Kluyveromyces lactis: one gene and its partners. The protein of the gene in region 2 purifies or fractionates together with the protein of the main gene of each other region. This does not show direct contact. Links are inferred from orthologs where the notes say so. Each region holds a gene or a part of one and is shown on either strand. Other genes may lie near its edges.

Region 1 (5,009 bases), on a different chromosome or scaffold from region 2:
TTAAACACAATGAATAAACGCACACCTCTTTTCGGGCCTTGGTTCGTTCTGTTTATCACTTTCACTTCCTCTGACTTAGTTAGATTCCTGAAAACATATTCAAGAAGAAGCGATGTTGAAATTATTTTTTTTTTCAAATTTCAGCGAGACGGCATTAGTTCATTTCTTTTTCTCAAAGAAGCTCTGTGTGTGTCCTTTGTTTCGAAGGGAAACGAGAACGAGATGAGATCGTGCTGTGCGTGCGTTAACTATATGTTTTAACGATAATGTGGCTAAAAGGTTATATTTTTGAAAACTTCAAATTTCTCATTAAGTGACTGATACATGGTGGAATTTCAGCCAAACCTATTGGGCATTAGCGAGCTATGATTCTCTTTTATTCGTTGACGGTTTGATAGGAAAGTAGTAAGTTTCTCCTTACATATTGCTTTTGGAACGCAACCAAATTGCAATATCTTCGACGGCTAGTATATAGATATATAAATTTAGAAATCAGGGTTTACATTGATTCAGAATAGCTTTACTCAGGAAAAATACTTGTTCAATAGTGAATCGCATTGTGGTTTGATACTTTCGTCTACTTCAGCCATAGATTCGAGGGCAACTTTGATGAACGGTTTCACTGGAGGTCTGAACATCAACATGAATTTCAAAGACTGGAACCCCAATACCGATCTAGTAGGATCTAAACATAGTGATTTCATCTTTTCGATGTGTTCTTGAGTAAGTAACGGCATTTCACTGACCATTCGAATAAACAATCTTCTGTGGGAGTCATCAAGTTTGGGGATCATGAAATCTAGCACCTTTACTGACCATTCATTATATATGGTATGATCTTTACCATCGGAAATCAATTCCTCATGGTACCACTCTTCACTTAGCCATTCAAGTACAAGCGTGATTCTGTTCTGGAAATCCTCACAGAAGTAGTCAAAAATTGCGTTGGTGACAATATCTCTCACATCTTGATTCGATGACACTCCTCTAGAGCAGAGTCTAGATAATAAGAATACCCAGGAGGTCTTATTGTCCCAATTCATTAGTAGAACTTTGTCCAATGGATTTGTACTTTGTAATTGTGTCATTGGAGTGCTCACATCAGTTTTAGTTGGTATCAGTAATATATTCTGCACAATTCTTTGCAAGTGAGTCAACTTCTCATCATAAGTTAAAGTTGGAACACCCAAGGATACTGTATGACTGCTTGATGGTTCTGCATCTTCCACTCTTTCGATCTTTGCCCTTTTGCTTTCTGGTGGCTGTATAGGAGCTGAATCATCAATTACGTACCTATCGTCCGCAGGCTGCTGTAAAGGTTCTTCGTTTTTCATTGCAACTTCTTGCTTTATTGGCAAAGCTGCAGAATTCTCTTCTCTGGGACGTTTACTAGCTTGACTTTGGCTACTGTTGTTGAATGGGACTGGACTACTATCGTTGGAGATAGTTGCGCTCTGTTGTTGAGCATTGTTTTGTAACCACTTGTTTATCAAATCGGTGTACCTGGACGCAACTATGGATAGTCCATTAATGGCAGTACCTGTGTTTGTGTTACTTAAAGCCTCAGTACATATTTTAACCATGGTATCTTGAGACAACTTCGAGACATCGAATCCGGAGGTGACGGGGTTCATTAAGGCAAAAACGGCAGAATATGAGTTATCGACAGAGGTATGAGCAGGATTCAAAAAATGTGGATGCTTTGTCGTGGATTTAGTGAAAGCATAACTCTGAAGGGATTGCAATACAGAAAGATCAGGCGGTGGGGGTGGAGGAGCAGGTATGTTCTTTACGGGGGCATGTATCTGAGGTTGAAAATTATTCAGTAACGGTGGAGTAGATGCCGTATTCATCATTGTATTTCCTATCATTGGCGAAACAATCGGTGGCATTTGAATAGGAGACGGAGATTTCGTTGTCGCTGAAAATGTTCCTGATGAAGAATCTGAAGAAGAGTCGTTAACTTCCTTCACTCTAGTGTATTTTTTTTTATCAGCTGGAGTCATTTTATGTTCAATCGCAGCCGGATCATAATTTAGAATACCTTTAGCTTTGGTCTCTTCGCCAATAACGAATAGAGTCTGTGAAATTTTAGCTAGTTTGTTTCTATACTGTGTCATGGATCCACTGTTTTTGAGTAGTTGACTTTTAATTCCGAACTGAACTAAATTTCTGTAACAACGTTCCACAAATCGCTTTGCAAGTCTGTATTGTAAAGTGGGTTCATCATCTCTTTGGAATTTCATGTCAATGTTGAATTTCAGTAAAGCGGATGCGATTCGAATTGTGGCCAATGGTCTCTGCTTCATAATAAAAGAAAGACTATGAAGAGCACCTGTGAACCATGGTGCACACATCATTGGTTCCTCAATTAAAAAAGTTAACAATTTATCTAACAAATATTTGGCTTCAGCCTCCAACGCTTGCTTATTAGATATCACAGGATGATTTTCTGGTATACTTCCCACGCTAATTCCGGGTCCTGAGGTGTGCACAATAATGATTTTCGAAATGAGCTTCACACTTGCTAATTTTACCCCCGTTCCTCTTGAATGGTTATTTAGATCATTGTCAGACAAATCCAAAGGATAGCAGGTCTTCCAGTTGGCAATGATAAGTTCTTTAAACTTTAACATTACCGACCAAAGTTTATCATCAGAAGTCTTTGCTACTAAATCAAATAATCGGTCATAAATATTACCAAGACATAGTATACAGTTTTTGTAAGTGACATAATCTCTTGTTTCAGCCATTTCCCAAAGCGCAGTGATGTTTTGACATACAATGAATGGTTTTTCACTTGATGGAATCTTATCATGAACCAATATATCCAATAATAACTGGGTAGAAAATCTCGAGAACCCTAAATTCCGCTTATCATTTAAAAACAATGTGATACCGGTCTCCAAAACCTTAGGAAGCATTTGTTCCGGCATATGCTGCATTGCCATCGCAGCTGCCTGTTGCAACTGGACTAAAGGGTCTACAGAAGTTGACATAGTTTTCTATACTCAGCAAACAGATGATTGAAAACTCACTGGAACAAAACAAAAAAGTACTGACTGTTGAGGTGCTTTGTTTAAAGTTTAACACACGGTTTATAGTATCAACCACGCTTGATGCTATGTCTGACTTGCTCTTGCTGTTTCTGCGCTCTTCAGTCACTTGTGGTTTCTTATAGTCAAAACGAAATCTGAACTTAGTGTTTAATTTTTTTTTCAATTTCATGTTCGTGCTTATAGAGAAGAGAGACTGTGAAAGAGAAAAAGCTACAGATGGTACAAACCTGCCCGAGAATATTTATGGATTTCAGACAGTAATTGACATGACATTTGTAACATTTACTTCGATTGAACTGTATATTACTGATCATGAAATTCACAATTTGTGAGTTAATAATGCTATATTGCTAGAAACAACTAAATAATGTCATAGCTCACCGATGTCGCATTTTTCAGAGGTCAACTGCCTAATCGGTTGAAATATGTAAGTGGGGCATTGTGTTGATTTCTCTCATTTCACTTTATACGCTAATGATTTGGCGGTTTGATCATTGAACGTTTCTGGGTACTATGTCAATCAGGAAATCGAACATATCGGACTTTTGTAATGCATCCGCAATGTCTTGCTTCTGCAACGTACGTCGCTTATTTTCCTCTGCAACACACCATGCTCTCATTGTGAGTTCTGTGATGAAGATTTCGCAGGCTTTTGCAAATAGAATTGGAGCCTCTCCACTAATCATTCTAACTTCTTCGTCAGTTTTCATCACTTTCTTAATCCTTGCTAGTGGTAACGAATGCGATTTGAAGTCGTCTTGGAATTGTGAACCTGGCTCATTCGTGGATTCTATCTCATTAATAAGTTCCTGCCAATACTGTATCATAATTTCTCTGTATCTGCCAGCAAGTCCCTGGCCGACATTATGGAATACGTCGATCTCTTCATCTTCTTCGAGATCCATGAGAGGTCCTTGTTCGTTTGTTACGTTCTCTTGATTATTAGCTGCCGGTTGATCCATGGTTTCGAGGTAAGTGTCATCGACAATATCAGTTAGATTTCATGTGGATCTGTGCTGCTAAGAACAGGGTACGATTTCAATACAGATCCACTCTTAGCATATTATGCGGTTTCCTGAAATCGTTTTAAGGATATGATTGTGAAAATAATATCTATGGCTTTTCATTATAAAAAAGACCATTTATGAAGGGTACCTCAACCAATTCCTGCAAAGTAACGAAGGTGGGTAAAGAGTGAATAATACCTTGAAAAACCTAATCGGGCAAGGTCCACGATTATATGGATTCGGTAATATGTGCCCCCAAAGACAGTTCCAATCATTTACTACAACTGCAGAGTCTACACTTTCACATACAACTCACAAGCAATTATCCGGTGCAACAATTTATGATGAGCCAGAAAACTTTCTAGAGATAGAGGTTTGCAACCCAAAGACTCATTTCCCTAGTGGCGATGCTAAGGGAATGTATACAGATTATGAAATTATATGCAGGACGAATCTTCCTGGCTTTTCTAAAAGATCGAGTTCCGTTCGAAGGCGGTACAGTGATTTTGAACTATTCAGAAAGTTGCTGATCAAAGAATTACAACTGAGCAACCATCCGAAAGTCTCAGTACAACATTTGCCAGGAAAGATTCTCCTTTCAAACAGGTTCAGTGATGCAGTTATAGAGGAAAGACGCCAAGGCTTGAACAAATGGCTGGCATCTGTCGCTGGGCACCCTCTATTACAAACTGGATCAAAAGTCCTCGTCCGTTTCATTCAGGATCCTACCTTCCAGGGGTAGTAATATTAAGCAGATTTGCCATCCTAATATAACTTTCGCTAGTGGCAGTTGACATGAGTCGGAAAGTCTTGATGTACTCTGTTTATGGAGCAAATTACGTAGAATGTAGTTTACAGTATATCCAAAAAAGTATATAATATTTCATGTTACCTTTAACGGAGACGGTTCTATCATGCAAATATGTTCAAAGTACAGTATGAG
Region 2 (3,650 bases):
AAAACCTGGATATACATATACACATATTTTTACTTTGAATATACACGACGACTATATCTGATATACTTCATGCAGCCATGCCTTTCGTTTTACTTACACATACGAAGTGACTTCGAAAAATCTCTTCAAGTAATAGATCTGGAACAACGAATTCACTACAACGACGAGCAATTGGAACACAGACCACCATTTGACACGGTCATTAGTGGATTCTGCTGTGTTTCTGTGAGTTCTTTCTCTGATAATAATGTAACTTTGTTCGTTCTTCACTTCTTTGACCAGTTTGGACAATTGTCTCACTGAGCCGTCCAAAGATCTGGTGTTTGGATCATCTAAATCGACATAAATAACACCGAAAACATTGAAAGTCACGTCCTTAGTGTCAATGTTCGAGTTTTCATTCAAAAAGCAGTATTGGAACTTGCCGGTGTATGGAGCGTTCACAAACACGTCACCATGTGACACGTCTCTCAAAGTTTTCAAGACCTCGCTTCTTTGAGACCCATATAGAACGAAATCACCAGTCAATTGTTCAGTACCATGAGGGTTTCTATCACCGAATTGGAAAGATACAGATAGCTCGTCACCTTTGTTCAAGTTTTCAAAGAAACAACGACGACCGTACGCTGGTAGATGTACCGTGTGTGCGTTACACAAACCAGCAAATAGTAACACCAAAAATTGTAATAGCATTCTTATATGTAAGGACTCTCTGGCTACTAGTTGTTTTTCACTAGACGGTTGAGGGTAGTGCAATAACAAAGATGAAGGGACTCAACTCGATGAAGTGTGTGAATACAAATGTCATGTAAGTAACAGATCGTCAAATAAAACACGACTTCAACTTTTTGCCAAAAAAAAAAAAAAATAACACATAGAAAGATCGAAAAAAGAGGGTTTTCCAAAATTTTCAGTCTATGCTAAAAAACACGATGTGTCTACAGCACTATGTTAACGTACGTGTTATTGGTTTAGTCGATTGATGTATGGAAAAAGGCTCAACGGCTAATCTACAGAATTTTCCTTTGCAATATGTAGAATATATATATATATGTATATATCACTGCGTATATATATACTAATAACATGAATGATGGGATATGTGTAAAAGGGTGATAAGAGAGTAAAGTGGAGATAAAGGTTTGAAATTGAAATTGTAGCAGCCCGCTTGACATTCGACAAAGAAATTATGTTACAATATATTAGAAAGGTATAAAGGAAAACGTTCTAGCTCAGCAAGTTTTTCCAGTAATATATCTTATACTTTATGTTTGAATTTAATAGTTTATTTTTTTCTGGTTTTTTCATTGGGGATTTTCTTTGAGATGGGATTCGTTGTTTAAAGGGGGGGGAGAGATGAGGATGATGATGATGATGATGATGATGATGATGATTAAGAAGGTTTAAATTTAAATTCATCATTTCTTTCTTCTCACTACGTTTCGTTCCAATAACTTAGAAGCTGGTTTCAAGATTTGGAACGAACATAATAAACTTTCATCAACAGACATCATAGCACCAGCGTTATCGAACTCACCACAGTAGTTTGGAGCACTGAACAATGTTACCAATTGTCTTTTACTGAAAAACTCGTATCCGTCTTCGACGACTTGATGTGCTCTACAGATCAATTCCATATCTTGTTTTTGTAAAAACCTACTCACTACGTCAGGACCAAAAGTGAACGAGACACCTCTATCGTTTTCTGACCATCCAACGATATCTTTATCCGGATCGGACCATAACAAATCGCATAATAACCCCACGTCTGGGATATCGGTGGGTCTCATCACACGTCTGATTTGTTCCATGGTATTTAAATCTGGGGATAATCCACCATGCATACAAAAGATTTTTTCATCGACAATCGCAGCGATAGGCAAACAGTTGAAACAATCCGTAAAAGTTTTCCAAAGCTTAATGTTATAACGTCTCTTACATTCGTCGTAAAACCCGTAAATTCTATTGATCGATGCACATTCGTGATTACCACGCAAGATAAAGAAATTCTCCGGATACTTGATCTTGTAAGCCAACAGTAAACAAATGGTTTCTAGCGATTGTTTACCACGATCCACATAATCACCTAAAAACAGATAGTTGGATTCTGGTGGGAACCCACCGTATTCGAAAAGACGTAACAAATCATAATATTGACCGTGGATATCACCACAAATCTTAATTGGTGCCTCCAATTCCAATAGGATTGGCTGCTTGATGAAAATAGATCTGGCCTTGGAACATAAATACCTAATCTCGTGTTCTTCCAAGTCAACCTGATGGCCAGGTTTCAACCCTCTCACTTCCAACAATCTATCAATGATATCGTCAACGTCTACTGATTGTTGATCCATTTTTCTTATTTTATTCCTTGTTCCTTTGTTTTATAATTATCGCGGTACTATATCAAACGTTCTTAATAATTGAAGTAACCGATGGCAACTGTGATGCTTCCGTGTCTTGGATTATCCAAAAGTATTGGTTCTTATTAATCCTTATTTTTTTTTCCTAACGAAGCAAACAGATTATAGAATATAGCCCGCAACTTTAAAAGATAAAAAAAGGTACTAGTAGAAATTACCCTGGTTTGAAGATGCAATATTGTCTCACTTCCAATTTCTACAAACAAACAGACCCTGCTGTATTCTTTCTAACCTTCGTATGAACGTAAGTCTCTCAATCTCTTATGTTTTATAATTATCTTTCTTTAATAATATTAATTTTTTTTTTTAATCAATTGATTGAAAGAAAAAATAATAGAAAAACACACACAGAGTTTTAAAGGAAAAAAAATAGAATTAGAAAATAACCCGAAAAACGAGATCTACACCGTTTCGTATTGTGTTCAAACCTGTCGCCAATAACCACACACTGACCTGACTCGAGCTGGCGCCAATACTGATGATCTTCCCGGAAACAAATGGGAAGGAAAACACTGAAAATACCGTGTTTTCCCAATGAATAAAACACAAGTTGTAAGTAATGCCAAAAAGCGTTACCGAAAGTTTTCAATTCTCAATTTTCACTTTTGTTCTCCTTCATATGGGAAAAAAAGAAAAGAAGTCGCAGTGTCAGCTTGGTATCGCTTCGCATTGGACTGGAAAACCAACTGGGGCTAGGGATGGGGCTAGTGCCCAGTGTTGCCTTGCCAAGTGTCGTATATGTACTATTTAGTTATGGAATGGGTTGTGTTCTGTTTTTGTTTGTGAGCGGGAGGGTGCTAGGTATTTCAGAGATGTCGGGTTTCGATGGCAAAGATGCTACTACTACTGCTACTGCTGCTGCGCAGCAGCAGTAGCAGTGTCTATATTCTGCCTAGCATTTCGCACCGCAGCTCGCGCACGCAGCCTCTGACATTTACGTCCCTTGCCTTCTTTGCCTACTTCTCTTCTTCTCTTCTCTTCTCTTCTCTTCTTCTCTTTCCACTCGTTTACCATATTTATTATTAGAATCAAGATGTAAAGAGCTGGCAGGCTGCAGTTCGTTACATTCTCCATTAGGGATACATGAAAAAATACATATAGTAAATAAAACAAGGGCGTACAATAAGCTACCGCACCTTGCTATTTCGGGCAACACCAAGGCATAGAATCCGTTGGTTTGGATGTGTTCTCACTTCGTTGGTTCTGCCCTACCCGATAAGTTAGAGA
Region 3 (3,586 bases), on a different chromosome or scaffold from region 2:
TAGAGAAGATTCCTATCAAGAAACGATTTGCGTTCGGCAAAACAAAGTATAGGCTTGAGAAAAGGTTTGTTACTAAGAAATTGAAATATGACGATTGGGACTTCAAATTCGCAAAGGATGGTTCATTTGCACGCTGCCAGGTAAATGTCAATAAAAATATGCTGAAACAAATCAAATACAAAACAAATGAGCTACACTTTGAATTCCTCAATGAATGGGAGCGCGAATTTGATGAGAAAATCGCACAAACATATAAAGAAGACGAATTATGGAAACTTCCTCGGAAAAATCCATCTAAGGTTTGCTCTCTTACAGTTGATGTGATGTATCTTCCAAGAACTTCGTCCATGGAAAGATTCCCAAAGAATCTGAAGGCAGTTCAGAAGTGTTGCGAGAAGTATCTTGAACAGCAAAGGGTCAATAATGAAGGATTCCTGTGGCAAGAAGGCGGTGATGTAGAGGGAATGTTGAAAAGAAGATATATGATTTTGAAAGGCACTGAACTTATAGCTCATGACGAAGTTACCAGAAAACCACAAACTTTGTTGAATCTTCTAAACGTAGTAGATATATACTCTGATGGTAAAACGGCAACTGGAAAACAAATGAGAAACTTTACTGATATGGTACTTTTCAGCGATTGCTTCAAACTCCTTTTTGCAAATGATGAAGTTATAAATTTTAACGCTGATTCTAATCTTTTAAAACAACAATGGGTTGAAATTTTGACCAGCGTTGTTGAACTGAATAAATTCCATCAACCATGGATCAAAAGAGTTTTTGAAAACGAACAATACAACATTACTTTTTAAACTGTTATAGTATTCAGATATATAGTTTGTCTTTGCCATTTTTTTTGAAGTATAGTATATTAATGTCATTTCTCTAATTATAACAAATGTCAACATGAGGTCTTTAAAACTAAGCTGTGTTACAATTCCATCAAGGAATCGAAAATACATGTACATGTCCGCTATATATCATTAATGTTGCTTGCAATCAATACGAGCCTCAAGCACTAAATTTCATTTCTTGTCGTTGAGATTATTATTGTTGTTGTTGTTAATGTTGTTCATGTTGTTCATGTTGTTCATGTTGTTCATGTTGTTCATGCTTGATACATTTTGATTTTGCATGTTATTCATCATACCCGGAAATGGAAATCCTGGGAAACCACCAAACATGGGGGGAAGTCCCATAGGCGGAGGAGGAGGTTGGATTGTATTCTGTACAGGTTGTCCTGAACCTGGATCATTTAACTTTCCTTGCTGCTGTAAAGCTAGGAGGTTCATCAAAATCTTTTGTGGGTTGTATTCTTTCGTCAAATGTTCTTGTCTATGTAAATATTCCATCCAAGTCTGTTCATTAAATCCATAATTGAAATAATCTGAAATATTCGCTCCTGGTTGTCTCCAGGGCTTCTCCTTTAGAATTTCTGGATCGATCTGTACTATAGGTTTCCCATCGAATTGTGCATCCGGGTTCAAATCAATAGTTTGTTGTTGCTGCTGCTGCTGTTCAGGTGGTATTGAACCCTCCTGTACAGGAACCACGTCCGATATACCAGCCACTGCTGCAATAGCATGATCCGCTGTACCAAGAGGCGTTGTGTCTGTTATAGCAGATATCTGGGACTTACCAGAATCTATCTTAGAGGTATCGTTACCAGTTCCGATGATAATCTCAACATCTGAATCTGAGTCACTGCTGTCATCCTCATCTGATGAACTATCCTGATTGGAGGCCTCACTCTCTACCTCATTCGTATTACCTTCCGGTACATCATGAGCTAGTATCTTGGGTGTTTCTTCGACCTTTTGTCTTTTCAATGCAGGACCCTCTTGCTTTGCGACTACGTTAGAATCCTCCTCATCGCTGTATAGAAACTTATCGTCTTCATCCTCACTGCTCATAACGATTCGTTTCTATATGTCGTTCGTGGACTGGTAGAAGATTTATCAATAAATGCTTGGAAAGTTTGGAAGGCTGCGCAACCCAAAAGGTATCTTAACAGGAAGATAGTTCTTCTTCTCATATAGAAATCAACTAATAGTTAACTCTCAATGCTAAGATTTACCAAAATGATGCTGTTAAATCGACGCATATCCGGGTAAATTATTGTCGTATTCAATGACAAACATTTCTAATGAATATCTGTCACCGGACAGCGGACAGCGACTCAGCTTGTTTGGACGGAATGTATAATATGGGTTAAATGTGTAGCTAATGAGAATACATGATTTACAGAAGAATTAGATGTGCATGTTGCGGACAGTATCGATTTCCGATGTTAACGAACTTGAAAGAATATGCGATGGTAAGAATTAAAGATATGGAAAAGTAACAAGGGAAACCAAAGAAAAAAGTGCATCTTATTGACGAAGCATAATACTTTGTCCTGTTTTTTCAGAGTAAAAGTGTGAATTAATTAAAAAAATTGACAGAAAACAACAGAGGAAACAAACATTACAGGCGAGTGAGTGTCTTTAATGTGTTGAAAAGAGTCAGACATTGTTGAGAATGAATGTTCAAAAAAGTCGATTGTAAACTGCAATTGAGAAGTGAATGTTCTTTTTTGAAGTGTTTATGGGACCTGTAAGGTTGACTAAACATGGTCACCTTGTGTCCGCACCCACAGAAACAAAGTAAAAAAAAAAATGGAAGGTAATTTGAAATGAAGTAGAGAATTAGAAAGGAATGAATGTAAGAAATATGATGAAGAAGGAAAAAAATATGCAGGTGTATCATACAGGCAGTCTATAGCAAAGGGGGAAAAATAATATCTGGATAAAAGGATGAGGATTGTTCCATCAAAAATACGTCTTGGAGAACTTGTAATCAATTTCTTGGAATCTAATCTTATCGAAATAATCCAAATCGTTAGAATCAGCCAAGAAATACCCAAAATAAGGTAGTAACTTGTTAGTTAGCGTGTAAACAAACTGATCCTTTTCCGAAACGACCGAATCTTTCTTTGAAGATGAAGAGGAGAACATGATGGGTGCCACCAATGCACGTTGCTGTTTTTTCTTCACTGGAGCCATGCACTGCAAGTCATTGTCCAAATCTTGCTCGTCTTCTTCCAGTAACACGTTGATACTTCTTGTAGAAGAGAAAACAGAACTGTGTCTTGTGTCAGCCAGTGAAGGTGGTGTAGAAGAAGAACAAATAATTCTCTGTTCATCTTCTTCTTCAAAACTCGTCTGTAAAAATTTCAAATTGTGAACGTGAATCAAATGGACAGGCTGAGTATGGATCATCGACGGCATATGGATGGACCTTGGCTGTAAATCGTGTCGACTGATAACATGCTTCTCATGAAAATCAAGGCTTACATCATCTTCGAGATCAGAAAGTGCCAATTCACCATGCCATTCCATGTTAACTCCACATTCTTGCAGGTCGTCCAGTTTCAAATAGCTAGAAATATCCAGCTCGCAGTGCATTGTATTGGGTAAAGTATATTAAGCTTCTATGGTAACCAGTTAGTATTTCACTATCAGTTTTTTTTTATGCACGGTAATGAGGCAACCGATAGAAAAAGAAAGACAGACAAGAATATGTCAAAAGCCTCAAAAACGATAGA
Region 4 (3,695 bases), on a different chromosome or scaffold from region 2:
GTTACTTCCCCGATGGTATGGAGAGATGCTCTGCTTGGATTATCTCCGGTGCTGCTATTCCTGTATCGGAACAACTCTGGAACAATTTTGGACAGTTCGGAGGGGCGGTACTGGGGCATTTCTCATTTATTGCTTATAGCATAAAGACAAGAAAATGCATTCAAGGTGCAATGATTTACCTCAGCGTGTTTGTTTAAGTTTCACCAAGCAATGCATACAGTTGTATAGTTTGCGATTGGTAGGCTATATTTTTACTATGTACCGCGTAATAGGCAAGTCGTAGGGGAATACTTGAATGTTTCGATTCTGTATAATGGTTTTTTATATCCTTGTGGTATAAGGCAAAAATAGGAAAAATAGCCACGATAGGAAGAGATGTGTGTGTACGTCCAGGTGTTCATGAAAGAAAGTTGCCAGCTTGATTTATTGCAAGCTCGTCAATTTTAGTGGATCGAATGTTTTTAGCGATTGAACCCCATGCAAACAAACAGTAGGAAAATCTCTCAGTACGCTGAAGTGAATGAGGGGTACCAAACTTTAAATTCTTGATGAAAGGAAAGACTACGGTATATGACATTACCCGGCCAATAACTCACTCTTGCGCGCTAATCCGAGCTTGCTGCATGTCATCCGATATCTCCCGAGATACACACTTGGTGAAAATTGGACAAGTAAATGTCTCGTCTCCATCTCCATGCCTTTTTTTTTAAATTAGTGTTTTCACAATCTTCGGATCCTGCTATTGGCTTTCCCCACAAATTTTGGTTATGTTGCTGCTCCTTCTCTTCAGTCAATAGATGAACGAATTTCGTCCTAATTACCCTGTATGTTTGCCTTAATTTTTTCGTTCAGCAGCAGTAGCATTTGTTATTTCGTTTCATATTGACAATGGCGTTTTTACTGATCACGTGTATTAAGTTTTAGTTTACGTTTATATATGTGTGTATAGTAACGGCTATATGCTTGTTGAAGTAGTGCATATCAGTCAGCTATCCCTCTACGCTTTGATCTCTTCAATTTCTTCCGAATCACAAGCATCGGTACTGAAGTTATGAAATTTTGTAATGATGCCAACACCGTTTGCAACGGAATAATAATCGACGATGGCTGCAAGGAATGTGCCATCTCAGTGAGTAATTGTTTCGGATATGGATGGTACATTGAACATATTAGGACGTCAATTTTGTCCAAGGTTCCAACTCCATTGGTGCATTCGAATAAATAATCTATGTGATCGCAAATTCGATTCATTTGAAATAGCATATCGTTGGTATCGTCGTCACATTGGTTTATGATGTACAAAGTGTCCCCATTAGTGAAAACAGAACCGAAAGAGTAAACTAAGGCGTATATTTTCTCAGCAAAAGATTCATCCATTTGATCCAAGTAAACAACGAACGAGTGGCCTTTCTCGCTCGTTGCGGCGGTAATATTGTCTCCTTTGCTCATATGATAGACAGCTCTATGTATTCCGTGTTGAATTTCTTCCAATTTGATATCTCTTTTGTCTGCTTCTGTTTTAATCTCAGCATTCTTCGCTAGCCATGGCTTCATAGAGTCGAGTACTTGGGTAATTGGTGTAACAAAGTTCGGTAAAACTTTACAACCTAAATCATAATCAATGTGTTCATCAATTTCTATTTCATTCTCTACATCACTCACTTGTTCCTCCTCACTGACCTCACCATCGTCTTCTCTATCTTCTATGAATTCCTCTTCATCTTCATCTTCATCCTCGTCACCACCATTTTCTTGTCCTGGAGATACGCTATCTCTAGTGTTTCCTTTTTTGGCCTTCAAATGTAACCTTTCTGAAGGGTCCTTATTCAATATTGTCCACTTCAGGTAGGCTTGGTCCTTTATACTTACTCGACTCGCAGACCTTGATATCGATCTGCTTGATGATATGCCGGTATCTCTTGTCTTACTCCGGGACCTACCTCTTTGCTCTGGTTCCTCTATCTTTATAGTTGGAAACGCTGGAGGCGCAGCCAGATGCTTATCATCAGTTAGTTTCTTATTCAAAATACCTCTTCCAGGTTCTTCCATGTCTAAATATGTTCAATGGCTCACTTGTAGTATACTTTGTCTGCGACCGGAGATTGAAGCTAAGTTGATAGTTATTTCAATGATGTTGGATTAAATATTCGTCCTGTGAATTCAGTAGAATAGTATTAGCTGTGATACAAAAAGTTAAAATTATTTCACAGGTACAAGCTAGTGTCGCGGATAAAGAAAGTAAATGTGTGACTGGTGACTTGTATTAGGAATCTTTTCTCTGGTGTGAAAACATAGCAGTATAATCGTTTTTCAAGGTTATTTTGGCTTTTTATTTTTATCATATGTTTTCATATCACTTCACAATTTCAGTGCCTGTACTGCGAACGCTTAAAAAAAGTTAGAATTCTACAGACTGAAATGCTAAGAAAGGATATGAAATAGCAGTTTCTCTTGTAACTTTTGGGGAGGCGATCTTGAAAACTAATACCTTCCTTGTAGGACGTATCAAATATTGCATTCTAATTATTCTCCCGCACATATTTCAAGCTGCAAATATTAAATCGAGAGTTGTTATGATATAACGGTGATAAATAAGGGATAAGAAACTAAGAGATGGACTTTGATTATGAGAACGCCAAGTTCTCAATGCCAGAGAAAAGAATATTCGATAGTCAGGGTACCCTTGACTTCCAGAATTCAGTCGCAATGGTTAGAATACAATATCACTTGCAGAAGTATATTACGCTTTGTAAGGGCCAGCAGATACCAGATACAATCAAAGAAAGTTTTTTCACTAATATCGTAGTGGAACTACTCAAAAGGCTGTCTGCCTTGATAGACGAGACACCTCCTGAGAGAATGCATAGTAGATATGGAAACCTTTCATACAGAGATTGGCAAACGAAGTTTCAAAACCAATTGGAGAATTGGTTGCATGAGTTATTGCCCGAAAAGTACAACAACAGCATCATAGAACTTTCATATTACATATCTAATGCATTTGGATCGAAGGAAAGAATTGACTATGGAACTGGTCATGAATTGTCCTTTTTAGCTGTGATAATTTGTTTGGATATGCTAAAAATTGAAACAATAAAGGGGCCGGCGCTACTTTATTGTTTCAATTCATATTACGACGTGATTCAGAAACTAATCTTAACCTATAAATTGGAACCTGCTGGGTCTCATGGCGTTTGGGGGCTAGATGATCATTTTCATTTCTCATACATTTTAGGAGCCACTCAATTGTTAGATGTGAATACTTCTTTAATACCAAAGGATATTTCTAATACTAGATTGATGGAACAAAACAGCTCTAGCAATCTATTTTGCAAATCAATACGATTCATTAATGTCGTAAAATCGGGCCCATTTTCCAATCATTCTCCTCTACTCTACAACATATCAAGGAGTGTTCATACATGGCACAAGATGCAACAGGGTTTGATTAAAATGTACAAGGTAGAAGTTTTAAATAAGTTTCCAGTCGTGCAGCACTTTTGGTTCGGAACCGCATTTTTCCCATGGACGAGTTATGGTAACAATCACTCTTTGCCAATATATCAGCCTGCAGAAAATAACGACGATGCTGATTTTTTGACTGCAAACAATGCTACTACGAAAATGCCTCCACCTTTGAGTACAAGCACATCTAGGTTTATACACAGACGTTAACACAGCATATATGGGATGAG
Region 5 (4,924 bases), about 920 kb from region 2:
TTCTCATTGCTTCCGATGACGACTACTTGTTTCGCGTTTTCATTTTCTTTTAAATCATATTATGTGAAAACACGTTAAAACAGGGATGTTAAATGACAAACACCAGTGGCCTATCTTCAGTTCAAACGTCACCAAAATAATTTTGGCTGGATACGTAAATATCAGCATAGGATCAGATTAATATAGGCTGTATCGTTTTAAATTGTCGCTCTGGAACTCTCGAACGATACAAAATCTGACGAAGTTGCAGTTCCTGTCTTATAATTTTCGTTTGCAAGCTAACTTCAAGTCTTAAATGTGACATTAAAATTAAATTGTGTAACTGGCAGTTAATAGTAGGCCTAACGGGCAATTTCGATTACTTTATATACATGATTATCCTCTAAGAACTAAATGAAAAATAGAATGAGTTAGAATAACAGTCTAGCTGTTAAAGGGTTTTAGTAATTCAATTTGGGAGCTATTTTTTTAAACCAAATATGCTTCTCCTTTTTTTAGTCGAATCACTTGAAGATTGACTGGCAATACTACCTCTCCTTGAGTTGCTTTCGCTGACCACTGGACTTGAATTTGAGCTATTAGAACCAATGTTGTTATTGGAGCCTCCCCCAAATAAAAATGAAAGAAGTCTACCTTTTTTCGACTCTTTCTTATCTAGAGAAGTTGTACTCAATACTTTCCTCAACGAAGTTGAATCCGACTTGGGTTGATGAGATCTTACCACGCTCAATGATAGCGCAGAATCTTCTCTATCAAATGGATCAGAATTCTGCGAATATGGATCATAAGACTTGATGCGCTGAATAGCTCCCTTTCCATCCTTTGATTTCACTGAGTTAGCAAACTTGATACCTCCCTCTCCATTGTTAGCGAGTGGGGATACTGGTCGGGATGGAGGAGGTGAGCTTAACACAACTTTGGGTAATTTTTTATTCTTGAAAGTATTTTGATTGAAGTCCATTGTTTCCTTTGAGTTCTCATGTTCAGTTGGAATTTTTGATTTTCTCTTGGGAGGAAGATCCGAGAAATCAAGCATAGATTTCTTCTTCATGACTCTGGGCCGTACACCACCTGTTATACTTCTTTTGATCTCAGCCATATCGGCAGAGTCACCCCAGGTTTCGAGCTCTTTGTTGAAGTTCAAAGTAGCATTAATGATAGAATCCATTTTCCCATAATATTGTTCAGGTGTTGGAAGTCCCGTATCTTCATCCAATAATTTAAGCTTTTTGTCAACAAGACAACGGTAATTGTGTCTTAGCTTTTGAATTTGCTTTACAGTTTTTTCTCTGTTGCCTAAAGACAAATTTGATGTTGTCTCCACATCATCATCATCATCGGTGTCTTCGTTTTCAGTGTCATCAGTTTCCGTTGTGGAAACACTGAATGATGAGACATCCAGATCAGTGTCCTTATCTGACGGTAAGACTCGTTGTTTGAATAGAATATCTCGCTGCAACTTCTTTTCGAACCATCCCATCCTCCTTGCAGCCACAAAAAAAACGGGAATAGGGAAATACTGCATCAGCACCGGAGCCAAATGTCTTGACTTATGCACAACAACTGATCCCGAGCCATATTTATCAATAGAACTGCCGATGACAAAAAAATCTGGAGCGTACGCATTTAATGAATCAATCAATATTTGCGAAGTCGAACCGATCACAATTTCAACTGTTATTTTGAGCTTCTTACCACCCATGATCAAAGTAGAATATTCGATGAGCCGCTGAAGCAAGTCATTTACTTCCCCAACCGTGCAACCGTCACACCAAGTAGCATCAGGTTGATCATCATCGGTACCGAATTCCCGAGTCCGAGAGACAGATCTCATCCTAGATCTAGAACGAGAGCGAGATCTCGATGCTGACCTCGATCTCGTATAAGAACCACTTCTAGTCGACCAATCTCTTCTGGGAATATTTGCAATAATAACTATATAATCAATGTCCTCAGCCAATTCGGCCATAGCCCAATCTAGTGCAACCCATGTATGTTCTCTACCACTTATATGCACAAGGATAGTTCTTGGCGTCTTTACCAATCCAACAGGGGTTCGAACAACTTTCAAATGTCTTTTGATGCTAGCCCTTCTTTCCTTTTGTATCATTTCCCCATTGTCGTTGACCAAAGGGGCATCTGTTAAATCGACTTTCACTTTCGGAAATAGAATCTCAGGAAATTTGAAGTACGTACTGACGCCGGTCTCTTTTCTCTCCTCCATTTTTTCTACTCGCTGTCTCCACTCATGCTTCCAATCCTTATGGTACTGTGTCCTGATCAACGCGTTATTAAATAAAACAGGTCTGCTGGGGTAGTCCCTTCTTCTGATTTCCCCGTTAGGGCCAAAGAAAATCTTTGGATTATTGCTACTGCCTCCAACATCAAGCTGAAATGTGAAATCATTGTTTTGCCTCGGTCTCATAGGCGAGGATCCACGTACTCTGTCTGTAAGGGTTGGGGTGATTCCCAAGTGAGTCCTTGATGATCCCCGGCCATGGCGTATATCGTCATGTGAATCATCACTATCGTAAAATCGATCCAGAGCGTAATCCAAATTATGAGGATCGCTGTCGTACCCTGATTCCTCGTTAGATACACCCTCGATAGGTACTGTGTCCCAAGAAACCGTTGGAACCAACTTTTCGCCGGCTCCGTTCAGTAACGAATCAACAGAACTTCGACTGTCAGAGCTATAATTACTCTTGTATCTCTGCAATTCCTCTGAACCTTCAGTACAGTGATCACACAGACAGAACTTCACCCTCTTATAATAGAAAGGATCTGTTTTCTCCAGCATCGGACTCCTTGGCTTTTGCTTCCCTAATAAAAATACTTGAATTCGTTGAATAACCAATTAACAGAACTCTCCGGTTACGTAAAATTATCGAAGGGAAAACTTTAACTTTCTGAATTAAGCGTATCTTTGCAGTTCAAGCGCAATTGTTACCCAGTAGTTTCTTCACCTTTTGAACCCTTATCAGTTGCATTCTGAATAATATGTCTTGGTATAATAATACTTTCAATAATCAACTTTTTCTTTAAATTTCATAATGACAAGATCGGAGAAAATGCTGCAAAGTTGAAAGTTAGTAACATAGAATAGAAAAAGCAGGATAATATGATACCTTTGAGTGACAGTTCATACTTAATTATATATTCGAATCGAGGTTTCTTTTTAAATATCAAGGCACAACTATAATTCTAGGATCCAATCGATGACGGTGTCTATCAAAGTTCCGTCTTTGCAACTTACTGAGAATAGGGCGATGTCTCTGTTTAATTTGACTTTCGAGTCATGTGGTAAATGAAGCAATCCGTGCTTCAAGTCTATGCCCAATTCTTTCGAGAGAACCTCTACCTTGCTTAATACGTGTTGATTTTCTGGATTTAAATCATACTTCGGTATATCTTCGTATTCATAATTGTGTAACAAGGGAGAGACGTAATTCCATGTCTGTTTCCTCGCAGAGTTTTCTACTGAACTCCGTTGATCTGAAACATCCGACTTGGCAACGTATAAATCTCTATGAAACTTCGGGATTAGGTCCACTTTGTTACCTAATATCAGAATAGGTACATGCTCCAGGTTTGTAGCGATTATCACATCATGAAGCTTGTTCTTTGCCTGTTCCCAATTCGTTAAATCGGATAAATCAATCATGAACACTAAAAGATCGACTTGTTGGAAACATCGATCCCAGAGTTTTTGAAAGCGGGTTTGGCCGGCTAAATCGTATACCTTTAGATTGGTATGGTTCGGCAGCTTTACATCTTTGATGTTTACTCCTAAAGTTGGTATCGTGTCGACCACAAACTCCTCTCCAGCTATCAGATTGGTGAAAGTCGTTTTACCTGAGTTTTGCAAACCAACAACTGCAATGCTCAATTGTTTCTGAGTGCTCGCAGTATAAAGCCAATCCCAAAATTGATTGAACCATTTCCAGAAGCAATCCATACCTACTCAACAGCTCGAGCTATGACCGTTTGGTCTGTTTTTCCTTCTACTTTCTCTTGGAATTGTAGCATTGCGATGTATCAGTTGTTTAAATGTCAACAATAATAGTGACCCTAAACTTCTATAGAAAAACCGGCTGGAAGGGCAAAAACAGAACAAGGGAGAATAGCTGCCGAATTGTATCTTGTGCTACATTAACGCTGGTACGGTATTACATCTACATTATCAAATTGCAGTGAAAGCCGTATATATAATTGTATATATAGATTTATCTACAATTTAATGTGTTCTTTGGTATGCAAGATCATCGAATCGTTTGACTATAGGGTATCCTTCTAACATACCGAAGAAATACCACTCCACAAGGAAATCTGTTGGAACACGATGGTAGTTGAGTCTCGGTCTCAATAAGAAGTAGGTCTCTGCTGCATGGCAGATAATTTCACCGATGATGATTGATATCAAGACGGCGTCCTTGGAGATAAAATCGATGATATACTGCGGTAATGGGAAGTATTGTAGAAGGCTTCTCTTCATAAAAACAACTATTGGTAGGAACACTAGAATTATTATCAAATATTCGACAAAGTCTCGAGGATACGACATCTCGTTGATCATAACGTGCGACACTCCTCTTTTCTCGGCAGCCTCCTTGGCCATCGACACCAATCTGTCTCTGGAATCTCTGAAACTGCTTAAAGGTGGATCAAAAGGAATCACCTTCTCAATATCAAAATCAATGGCAGCATGTTGGAATAATATGGTCATGTGGTCCAATTCAAATTCTTTCAATCTAACGCTACTGATTTGGTCTGTGATTGGCACATTACCAAATACATAAAGAAAATCCTCTAATGCAAGTTTATGATCTTTATTCATATGAGCAATAATGCTCTGTGCTGTGCCCTTAGCAGAAGTCGTATTCTCAGACATTGTTATTGAACTTATCAGGACAACGGTAATTGG
Region 6 (4,942 bases), on a different chromosome or scaffold from region 2:
GGAGGTACTTTTACCCAATACAATCATTCGATATGGCTCTGCATCAAAACCTACAAAAGTGAATCCCTGCATTGAATCTCCTATTATCATCAAGTTAGAAAAACTCTTTGCATCGGTAATAAACACAGGCATATCCAAAAACGCTACGGGAACAGCAGAATTATCTTCTTGCATATCACGAACAAGCGCTTTTGAGCTCTGGCCGATCATAAATCTCCCACTTATTTCACATACAGCATTCACAGATCCGCGAATTTCTTCTTCAAAGAGCTGTTTAAACTTGAAATTACTATCTGGTTTGCCTGGTTCGGCCACCACTTCTGTTATATCCAGAACCAGTAAACAGCCAGTGCTAGGCTGATCTTCTTCTTTTACAAAAGAACTTCCGATAATGACCAGCTCCCGCTTTCTTCTAGTCTTTGAGTTCAACTGAATGAGCATGGTTTTAATGTCGTTTACCATGGAATTCTCAGACAAGTCAAGCCGATCAATGATATTCCACGTGAGTGGATTGATCAAAAGAAGTCCAGATTTATACCCAGTACTATTTGGTTTGCTTGGATCGTAACCTACAAGGGGCTCACCATCTTCACTTAGAGCTTGATATTCGATGAATTTGGTATAGGAGATGATATACATTCCGGTCCGTTCATGGTACGCAATATTTCCTAAAGTTTCAAATTCCTCAACAACATCTTCAATAATGATTTTTCTAAGAATCTGAGTATTCCCATAATAACATTCAGGATCTAATTTCATTACTCTTGCATTTTTAATATTATCTACGCACATCACAGAGTTTTTACCCCACCTAGCCATTGTGACAATAGGTATATTAGTCATCCGGAATATCCGACATACCGAATTATCTTCTTTGATTATGATATATGGTACTTGACCAGTAATAAATACTACTGAATATCCATTGTAGTTAGGGAAGTAATGAGCAACCCTTTCTATTTTATTAACTCCTTGAGGGTATGCATTGTTAGGAGCACCGGTAATTAGAGGATGGGATTTACATTTTAAGAGTTTACCGCTGTGCTTTGTCGACTTCTTGTACTGATAGATCTCCCCACCAAACGTAAGAATAGTTAGAAATTCTTCTTTCTTATGATGGCCCAATCTGTTTAACATGATTTGCTTTATTGATGGGTCCGGGTTCATTTCTTCAGGAATCTGATACGTACTTATAAAAAGCATGTCTTCTAGCTGATCGACACCATTTAACTGAAATATCCTGTCATTGTGCTTTTCGGTAAAGAAAATAACCTGATTGTCGCCCGTTACAAATGTGAAGAGAAGCTGTTCTTGTGAAGAGTTTTCCAATCCATGTAGGAATTTGTTGCAAATGTTACTCTTGAAAATGGAACCAGATGTGATGATAATTTCATTGAGAGCCTCTGGAAGCTTAAATTTGATGAATTTTTTTTTATTTTTAGAGTCTAGTTGATAAATTTTGATGTTACCTCTAGCATCCGTGAATAGAATATATGGATCAATAATACACGCATGAACAATTTCGATATCAATAGTTAATCTTGCTAACCTCTTAAAGTCAACATCAAATAGATATAATCCTCCTGAAGTTACCTGTAAAATACGTTTATCGTCGTCCATAGTTTCCATGCCGATGGTTCTGCTGTCTTTTCTAAAATCTTGCGCCCTAAAAGGTTCAAAATTTCTATCAATCTGATATACATCACTTTTCTCTTTATCAGCGTCTGTAGTCACAAGATACTTGTCTTTTCCCTTTATTTTCAAATTCCAGATACGGGTCGCACTTGTGAATTTTAAGGCTTGTTCTATGTGGGGCTGGACAGTGGAATGCAATGCAGTGAGGTGAGATCCCCTCCCAACTCCAGATGTAGCTACAATTGAGAATTCATCTTTGTTAGGATTGGGAAGTCTCTGAATAGTTGGTTCAACAGATGCGACCTTACCAATAGTAAGAGATGTTAGAGGACCGATATTGAAAATGGAGTCCAACAATGATATATCGAAAGGCTCTTGTGTTTCGACGATTCTGGTGTGAGTATTATTTTGAGACTCTCCATAAAGTGCACTGTATTCATCGTCATCGTCATCAACAGTTTCAACAAGTTGTCGTTTTGCTGCAAATGCCACTTTCAAGTTTTTAAGTTGCAGAAACATTGCATCACCTGAGAGAAAACCTATAAGAACTCTGCCAGTTTCTAAGTTGAGATCACCACATACCGACAACGGCAATCTTGAATTTTTGAAGATCTCGTTAACAATCGGTACTTGTACACAGTCAAATTTGGTAAGTAGATTACCCTCTGATTCTGTAATAATGTTGTACATCCTGCAGTTTTCATCTATCAAAATAAGCAAATCATGTCTTTTCAAAGCTTTATAGAAATATATTGAACTCTTTGATAGAAAGATATTCATGTCAGAATTATCAGTTATCCTTGTATTGATTGAAGACGTTGCAAATGTGTTCAATCGTATGCACGATTGTAGTGCACCAGATGCACTGATATATAATAATTCATTGACACCAATCAACACATATCCCCTCTTCAGTGGAACCAAGGTGTGCAGGTCGTTCGGAAGATCTGCAAGCTCAGCAATCACGGTGGTTTTTTCATCTTCGACATCTAAACTCAAAACCATGTACCTCATAGTATTTCCAAGTACTTTTTCATTTCCACACCACGCAAGTACCGGTTGATATAATATTCCCACAGTTGGCTTGCTGAAATTATTTAACCATTTTATATCATAGACATGCTTGAGACTCTTGTGAAGGCTAGAAATTGGCATTATTATACTATCGGATGTGATTCCTTGGTTCCTTTTTAAGCGTTTAGCCATTGGCTCTTTTATTCCGTTCTCATCCTCATCAATTTCCATATCTTCTGTGTTCAGTTTCAATGGCAATATAGCTAAAACATCTTCATTAAAAACCAGAAGACATCTAAACAATGGATCCACTGCCATAATGGACTCCGTCTTCAAAGAAGAAGTGCTTAAATTGACAAATTTGTCGTGATAATAATGCAGACTTAGTGTTTCAAGACTCTCTGCCACTGGGTCAAACCTTACCAACGATACTTTGGATTTCGACGAAAGTATTGCAAGCATCTTAAGAGGCGATCCAATTTGGGGCAGTAATTGCATATCTATGATTTTACCTGCTAGTTTCCATTCATATGCAAGTACAAGCTTTTGTGCTCGCGAGACCCTGAATACAGAGAGAACATTGGTTCTTGCAACAACGTATTCTTCCCTTTCCGCTGACGTAAAATTCCCATGTAAGCATTTATTAACCACAGTGGGTTGCAATATCTCGTCAAAAACGTTCATTTATTATCTATCCCCGATATTTAAACGTTTCAGATTCAGGTGTGACTGAAGAGTGCTAGTATGCCCACCTACGCTCGTCTGTTTCCAGTGTTCTTAGTAATGATAGTTACCTATATTTTGAAGAACCGGTGAATATTTAAAAATTCACAGAAACTGAAAGTAAATGTTTCGATGACATCTGCAGACCATTTGAAAAGATGAATAACTGCATCTGCAAAACAGATATAAACATAGTGTACTGTCTGTGAGCAGCAGCTATTAGTCAATCTGGCCTGAAATTTCTGTAACCAAAGGTTTCTACGGACCGCGAGAAGAAGAACGTTTTCCAACAAGTTCAGATGGTAAAGCAGTTCGTCATAGTCATAAAATTGGGATCTTCATCACTAGTTGATGAAGAGACCAAAGAACCAAAACTTTCTATCATGTCATTGATTGTGGAGACTGTGGTAAAGTTACGCAGAAGAGGACACAAAGTTATCATTGTATCTAGTGGAGGTATCGCCGTCGGATTGAAAACGATGAATATGAAGGGAAGGCCAAAGAAACTATCCAAGGTGCAAGCAATCGCAGCTGTGGGCCAAGGCAGATTAATTGGGAGGTGGGATTCCTTGTTCTCTGAATTTGATCAGAGAATTGCTCAAATCCTAATTACTCGAAATGACATTGTTGATTGGACTCAGTATAAGAATGCACAGAATACTATTAGTGAATTACTTTCCATGGGAGTAGTGCCAATCGTTAATGAGAATGACACTTTATCTGTGAGCGAAATCAAATTTGGTGATAATGATACATTATCAGCTATCACAGCAGCGTTGACTGGTGCTGATTATCTATTTTTATTGACAGATGTTGACTGTTTATACACTGATAATCCAAGAGCAAATCCCGATGCAAAACCTATCTTGGTTGTTCCAGATATATCACAAGGATTGCCAGGTGTGAACACAGACGGTGGATCTGGATCAGATGTTGGAACTGGTGGTATGAAGACTAAGCTTATTGCGGCAGAATTAGCAACCAATGCTGGTGTCCATACCATCATTATGAAGAGCGACACTCCAGAAAACATTTCCAAAATTGTTCTCTACATGCAGGAAAGGGACGATGGCGTGAATGAACTTACACAAGATTTGGCTGACCTACAACTCACTGAGATGCAAAGTTTAGTTAATAATCATGTTCCTCTTCATACTAGGTTTATTGCCAATAGTAATCATCATCACTTGAAGAACAGACAATTCTGGATGCTTCATGGACTCGTCAGTCAAGGCGCTGTAATTATAGACATTGGTGCATACGAAGCGTTAACGAGGAAAAACAAAGCTGGTTTGTTACCTGCAGGCGTTATTGAAGTCCAAGGGAGCTTCCATGAACATGAATGTATAGATATAAAATTGGGAGTCAGGGATTCAGATGGAAATTTGGATAAATCCGTTGCACTGAAAACAGTAGGTAGGGCTCGTTGCAACTATACAAGCACAGAGTTATCAAAAATTAAAGGTCTGCAAAGTGATCAGATTGAAGATATTCTAGGCTATGCTGATAGTGAATACGTAGCTCATAGGGAAAATTTAGCATTCCCTCCTCATTAACCTAAAGTGAATGA
Region 7 (3,835 bases), about 750 kb from region 2:
GGTGTAAACTAAAAACACAATTACAAACAACATGTAAATTATAGAAACTGGTTCCTCTAGTTCAGAGAGAACAATCTACCCATGGATTTATATACGATTTTTTTTCCCATGATTCATGTGCACCTCATCTGTATAGTCCCGCGCTCCCTTTAAGAATCGCCTTGCTTTAATTTCATAAGCACTTTTTTTTCATTGATCTCTAAGCTCAATAAGCACAGTGTTTTACGCTGTAGTAATTATCCGCGCGCCATTCAAAAAATTAAGAGCAGCGAATAGGTATTTTAACGAATAGGTCGGTGAAACTGCGACGGAAACCTCTTCTGCCCTCTCTTCCTCCTTCCCTCCTTTCCTCCTTCCTTCCTTATCAGCTCAGATCGGCACTGATGATACCTGATATAACATACTGAAAACAGAAACGGATTACTGCAAGAGAGGACTTGACAAGTTTTTCTTTTTACACACGCACATAAACAAATATCTATCTAATCTCTCCAAAGGATCCTGACACAAAGTGCTCCGTGTTGCTGTGGAGGGCGGCAGCTACCGCCAAAACATTCGAATAGTAGCCCAATCGTTTCGGCATTTCTTTCCCTTTGCGCTTTCCTTAGACATTTCCCTCGACGTTCGTTTCCCTTCATTTCGCCGCATGCATTTGACATCTTCCTGTTTTGAAATGTCGGTTATTTCAGCTTTTTCCATTTTCAGTTTCCTGTATGAGCCAAGTCGTTAAAGAGGAAAACTTGCGCGCGGAACTTTTAGGTTGGGAAACACGGTGGTATACACTATAGATAGAAAGAAAGCCTTCGAGCCATTATGGATGACTAAGAGATAGGAATTGTGCTATGTATTTTTCTTGTTATTGCTATTATTATTATCTATAGAAGGTAGTCGTTTTTGAGTTGCTGTATTAGTTGTTGCTGGCCTGGTGGAAGAGCCATTATGTTCGTTATGGGCATCGAAAGCGCAGTTCTGATCATGTTCTGTTGATCTTGCGGCAGTAGCGAAAGTTTTGCCTCGTTGAACTGCTGTGGGGTGTTGGCAGCGTTGGTTGTAGCGGTGGTGGTAATATCACCACCAGTACCGTTACCACCGCTGTTAATGCCTTGAGCCGTCTGGGGTACAGACGGCTCAGGTAGTTGAACTGGCGGCAGAGTTGGTACTGTAGGCGCGGCTGCGGCAGGCGTGGGTCCAACAGAATGTTGGCCCTGCATTTGGCCTAGAACATTTGATATCACGTGATAGTTTATCAACCCCATTTCTAGCATTGCCTGAGTGACAGCTACCGTTAAGTCAATGTTAGTCTTCAAGAATTGTTCCAGTTGTGGCTTCTTGTTATGCTGGTTGGCTAAGATCTTCAAGTTTGATAGAATCTCGATCATTTGTAACGTAGGAATCTTCGATAGATTTTGAGATACCACATCCGGTGCAGTCATCGAGCCCGGTTGGTATGCTGGTAGATGCTTTGATGCCCGTGCTAAGATCTCTGGGATCTCTATCTGCTGTGCCGGTGCCTCGTTCGCCTTCGAGGCAAGGTTATCCGAGGCAGCATTCGTAGATGCAGTGTTATTCTCCGAGGATAGTGTGCTTCCTGCGTCACTTGTTATTGGTTGCACCACCGGCAACGGCTTTCTTGGTAAAGGTACCTCACTTACCATTTCAAACGGTAGTTCTAATTTGTAATCCCAGGGAAAATTGTCTCTTGTGAACTCTAACGGTTTCAGTTGGTCTATTTTCTCTAACTTTTCTTTCCAATCTTTGGGAATCACCATGGACATCCTACATGGGAAATGGTTTATCTTATTTATTGAATTTTGGGCCCTATTGGCGGAGGAAGAGTCCCTGAAATCTACATCTACCCATTCAAGACATCCTCTTTCACTTCCAGCTCCAGCTCCAGCTCCAGTTCCTTTTCCCCCTTCTCGTTCTCCTGCTTCTTCGACCTCATCCACGTATTTCTCTCTAACGTCAACTATATATCCAGAACCAGTTATCACAGATGTGAAGTTATCCTTGTTCCACTGAGCAGGTATGTCAGTAAAACGTATGGTAGATGAAAGATTGTGCGGGGTCAGTTCATGCCTGCTTTTCCTAGTACGAGGATCCTTCTGTGGGTCATGCATACTTTGACTGTGTTTAGTTAGAAACCAACTTAAGAGTATTTCACCGTTTCGATATATATATGTATTCTCTAAATTGCAAACTTGTTATCGCAAATATCTGACTGGTGTCTAGTAACTAGTATTATTTTGCCTCACAATGAATCGTTACGAACATACATAATTACATATTCATTCTTTCTAGTCGACAGCAGATTTCTTAATTCATTAGTATGGCCGTTAGTCTTTAACGATGCTTAGAATCTTTTTAAGTTAACATTCATATAAGAACAATATCCGGGTAATAATTGATTATATATCACGTGCCAACTGATGTTTCTTTTGTTTTGTATTTCTTAGATTTACATGAAATCGAAAATCAGGAAGCCTTCGAAGTTAAAACGTAAAGATATGATTGATGAATAAGAAACTGTTCTGTCCACATCCAATATCAGCCAGAGTATTGTTAATCAAGCCTCTACTATTTAAGAAAATTGTTCTAAGGATCTACTCTCGTGGTTTGTTATCTAGACAAGAAGACAGTCTGATAAAAAAAGCATTGCGCATCGGTTCTTATATAAGCATCGTGAACCTAGGAAATTTGTTTAGAGAATTTGTCTGTGAGAATTCTAGTTTAACTGGTGGATAGTACTATACTTTATTATCATTTCCAAGAAACGTTTCCATTTATCATATTTATGACAACGATTTGGTGTTCTCCGTTTTCAAGTTAGATATATCAAATTAAATCGAACTGAACTGAAAGGAACAGTAATATATCCGTCATCCCGAAAACATACCCCCTGTGATTTATTAGCTAGGTATTGATAAGAGGATTCATCAGAGAATAACAGAAGACATAGTCATTGATCTTGTTTGACTGTATCTCAATTTTGAATCAGTCTCTTTTTTTTTGATTTTGTTTTGCGTTATTTTCACGTAAAGGTGGAAAAGAGGTAGTTAATTATTCTTGTTGAGTTGCCAAAACTGTTGTGGTCCAAACAGAGATCAGAGTCTGATTCAGATATTTCCCTTCATCTGAGAAAAAGGAAACAGAGGGCTGCAAGAATAATGAGTAAGCTGAGCAGGAAGTATCATTTGCCCTATACAAGAGCCATCATTGGCGAAAATGGTTTATTGATTAAAGATCAATTTACGTCCGGTCCTTCAACAAGCTCATCGACGCTTTTGGCACGCAGAAGTAATGGAGGTGATTTCGGCGATGACGAGGATGACGAAGACGGCGATGCTTCTGGGAGCTTCCAATCTAGTGTTTTTGAAACAGCTTCGTTAATCAGTTGTGTTACTTGTCTCAGCGACACGGAATCTAAAGATGAGAATGAAGCTCTGCTGCTACCTTCAAATACGGTTATTCCTTACGCAAAGATTCTTGATGTCACGAATATGGAAGCAGAAGATGATGGTTCCCCATGGCCGGATCATACTGCATTGATTGAAGTCACTTTTGCAAAGCCAAGGAGGAACCATTTAGTCCCAAAAACAATAAAATTGAGCGTCGATACTTCAGTGTTTCCTAATATGGGAACTGATGTGGCAGAAGAGATCTTGAATAGAAGTTATAAAAACACTAAGAGAAACAAATCAATTCTAGTCATTATCAACCCACACGGTGGTAAGGGTAAAGCCAATAAATTGTTCTTGTCCAAAGCCAAACCAATATTATTAGCAAGTGGTTGCAAAATCGTTGTTAAAGAGACAACATATCATTTGCATGCTGT

The links.
Region 1: the proteins of GLC7 (region 2) and PTA1 purify together in Saccharomyces cerevisiae (affinity purification with mass spectrometry; 11 studies listed by BioGRID, with this or other methods). This does not show direct contact. The link is inferred for Kluyveromyces lactis from reciprocal best matches to the Saccharomyces cerevisiae genes GLC7 and PTA1.
Region 3: the proteins of GLC7 (region 2) and FIP1 purify together in Saccharomyces cerevisiae (affinity purification with mass spectrometry; 4 studies listed by BioGRID). This does not show direct contact. The link is inferred for Kluyveromyces lactis from reciprocal best matches to the Saccharomyces cerevisiae genes GLC7 and FIP1.
Region 4: the proteins of GLC7 (region 2) and IMP21 purify together in Saccharomyces cerevisiae (affinity purification with mass spectrometry; 3 studies listed by BioGRID). This does not show direct contact. The link is inferred for Kluyveromyces lactis from reciprocal best matches to the Saccharomyces cerevisiae genes GLC7 and IMP21.
Region 5: the proteins of GLC7 (region 2) and JIP4 purify together in Saccharomyces cerevisiae (affinity purification with mass spectrometry, with the first as the bait; 4 studies listed by BioGRID). This does not show direct contact. The link is inferred for Kluyveromyces lactis from reciprocal best matches to the Saccharomyces cerevisiae genes GLC7 and JIP4.
Region 6: the proteins of GLC7 (region 2) and CFT1 purify together in Saccharomyces cerevisiae (affinity purification with mass spectrometry; 6 studies listed by BioGRID, with this or other methods). This does not show direct contact. The link is inferred for Kluyveromyces lactis from reciprocal best matches to the Saccharomyces cerevisiae genes GLC7 and CFT1.
Region 7: the proteins of GLC7 (region 2) and PTI1 purify together in Saccharomyces cerevisiae (affinity purification with mass spectrometry; 5 studies listed by BioGRID). This does not show direct contact. The link is inferred for Kluyveromyces lactis from reciprocal best matches to the Saccharomyces cerevisiae genes GLC7 and PTI1.

Annotation. Positions count from the first base shown.
Region 1 is NC_006037.1:330,515-335,523, forward strand, and holds PTA1 (RNA-processing protein PTA1), read right to left. Parts: upstream 3,000-5,009; coding exon 525-2,999; downstream 1-524. Other genes in the region: HAP5 (Hap5p), read right to left, coding at 3,551-4,021; SNX3 (Snx3p), read left to right, coding at 4,314-4,808. UniProt on the Saccharomyces cerevisiae protein: Essential in pre-tRNA processing. Component of the cleavage and polyadenylation factor (CPF) complex, which plays a key role in polyadenylation-dependent pre-mRNA 3'-end formation and cooperates with cleavage factors including the CFIA complex and NAB4/CFIB.
Region 2 is NC_006042.1:1,158,250-1,161,899, reverse strand, and holds GLC7 (type 1 serine/threonine-protein phosphatase catalytic subunit GLC7), read right to left. Parts: upstream 2,355-3,650; coding exon 1,419-2,354; downstream 1-1,418. Other genes in the region: EMP24 (Emp24p), read right to left, coding at 94-693.
Region 3 is NC_006041.1:534,082-537,667, reverse strand, and holds FIP1 (cleavage polyadenylation factor subunit FIP1), read right to left. Parts: upstream 1,914-3,586; coding exon 1,026-1,913; downstream 1-1,025. Other genes in the region: BUD4 (Bud4p), read left to right, coding at 1-812; transcription factor IME1, read right to left, coding at 2,811-3,446. UniProt on the Saccharomyces cerevisiae protein: Polymerase-regulating component of the cleavage and polyadenylation factor (CPF) complex, which plays a key role in polyadenylation-dependent pre-mRNA 3'-end formation and cooperates with cleavage factors including the CFIA complex and NAB4/CFIB.
Region 4 is NC_006037.1:36,153-39,847, forward strand, and holds IMP21 (Imp21p), read right to left. Parts: upstream 2,050-3,695; coding exon 982-2,049; downstream 1-981. Other genes in the region: peptidylprolyl isomerase RRD1, read left to right, coding at 2,614-3,675. UniProt on the Saccharomyces cerevisiae protein: Controls the nucleo-mitochondrial dependence of galactose, maltose and raffinose utilization. Becomes essential in the absence of functioning mitochondria.
Region 5 is NC_006042.1:240,838-245,761, reverse strand, and holds JIP4 (Jip4p), read right to left. Parts: upstream 2,801-4,924; coding exon 461-2,800; downstream 1-460. Other genes in the region: KLLA0_F02662g (ADP-ribosylation factor-like protein), read right to left, coding at 3,197-3,958; KLLA0_F02640g (uncharacterized protein), read right to left, coding at 4,238-4,891.
Region 6 is NC_006039.1:879,973-884,914, forward strand, and holds the start of CFT1 (cleavage/polyadenylation factor CFT1), read right to left. Parts: upstream 3,334-4,942; coding exon 1-3,333. Other genes in the region: PRO1 (glutamate 5-kinase), read left to right, coding at 3,672-4,928. UniProt on the Saccharomyces cerevisiae protein: RNA-binding component of the cleavage and polyadenylation factor (CPF) complex, which plays a key role in polyadenylation-dependent pre-mRNA 3'-end formation and cooperates with cleavage factors including the CFIA complex and NAB4/CFIB.
Region 7 is NC_006042.1:1,903,762-1,907,596, reverse strand, and holds PTI1 (cleavage polyadenylation factor subunit PTI1), read right to left. Parts: upstream 2,121-3,835; coding exon 876-2,120; downstream 1-875. Other genes in the region: KLLA0_F20504g (sphinganine kinase LCB4), read left to right, coding at 3,168-3,835. UniProt on the Saccharomyces cerevisiae protein: Component of the cleavage and polyadenylation factor (CPF) complex, which plays a key role in polyadenylation-dependent pre-mRNA 3'-end formation and cooperates with cleavage factors including the CFIA complex and NAB4/CFIB.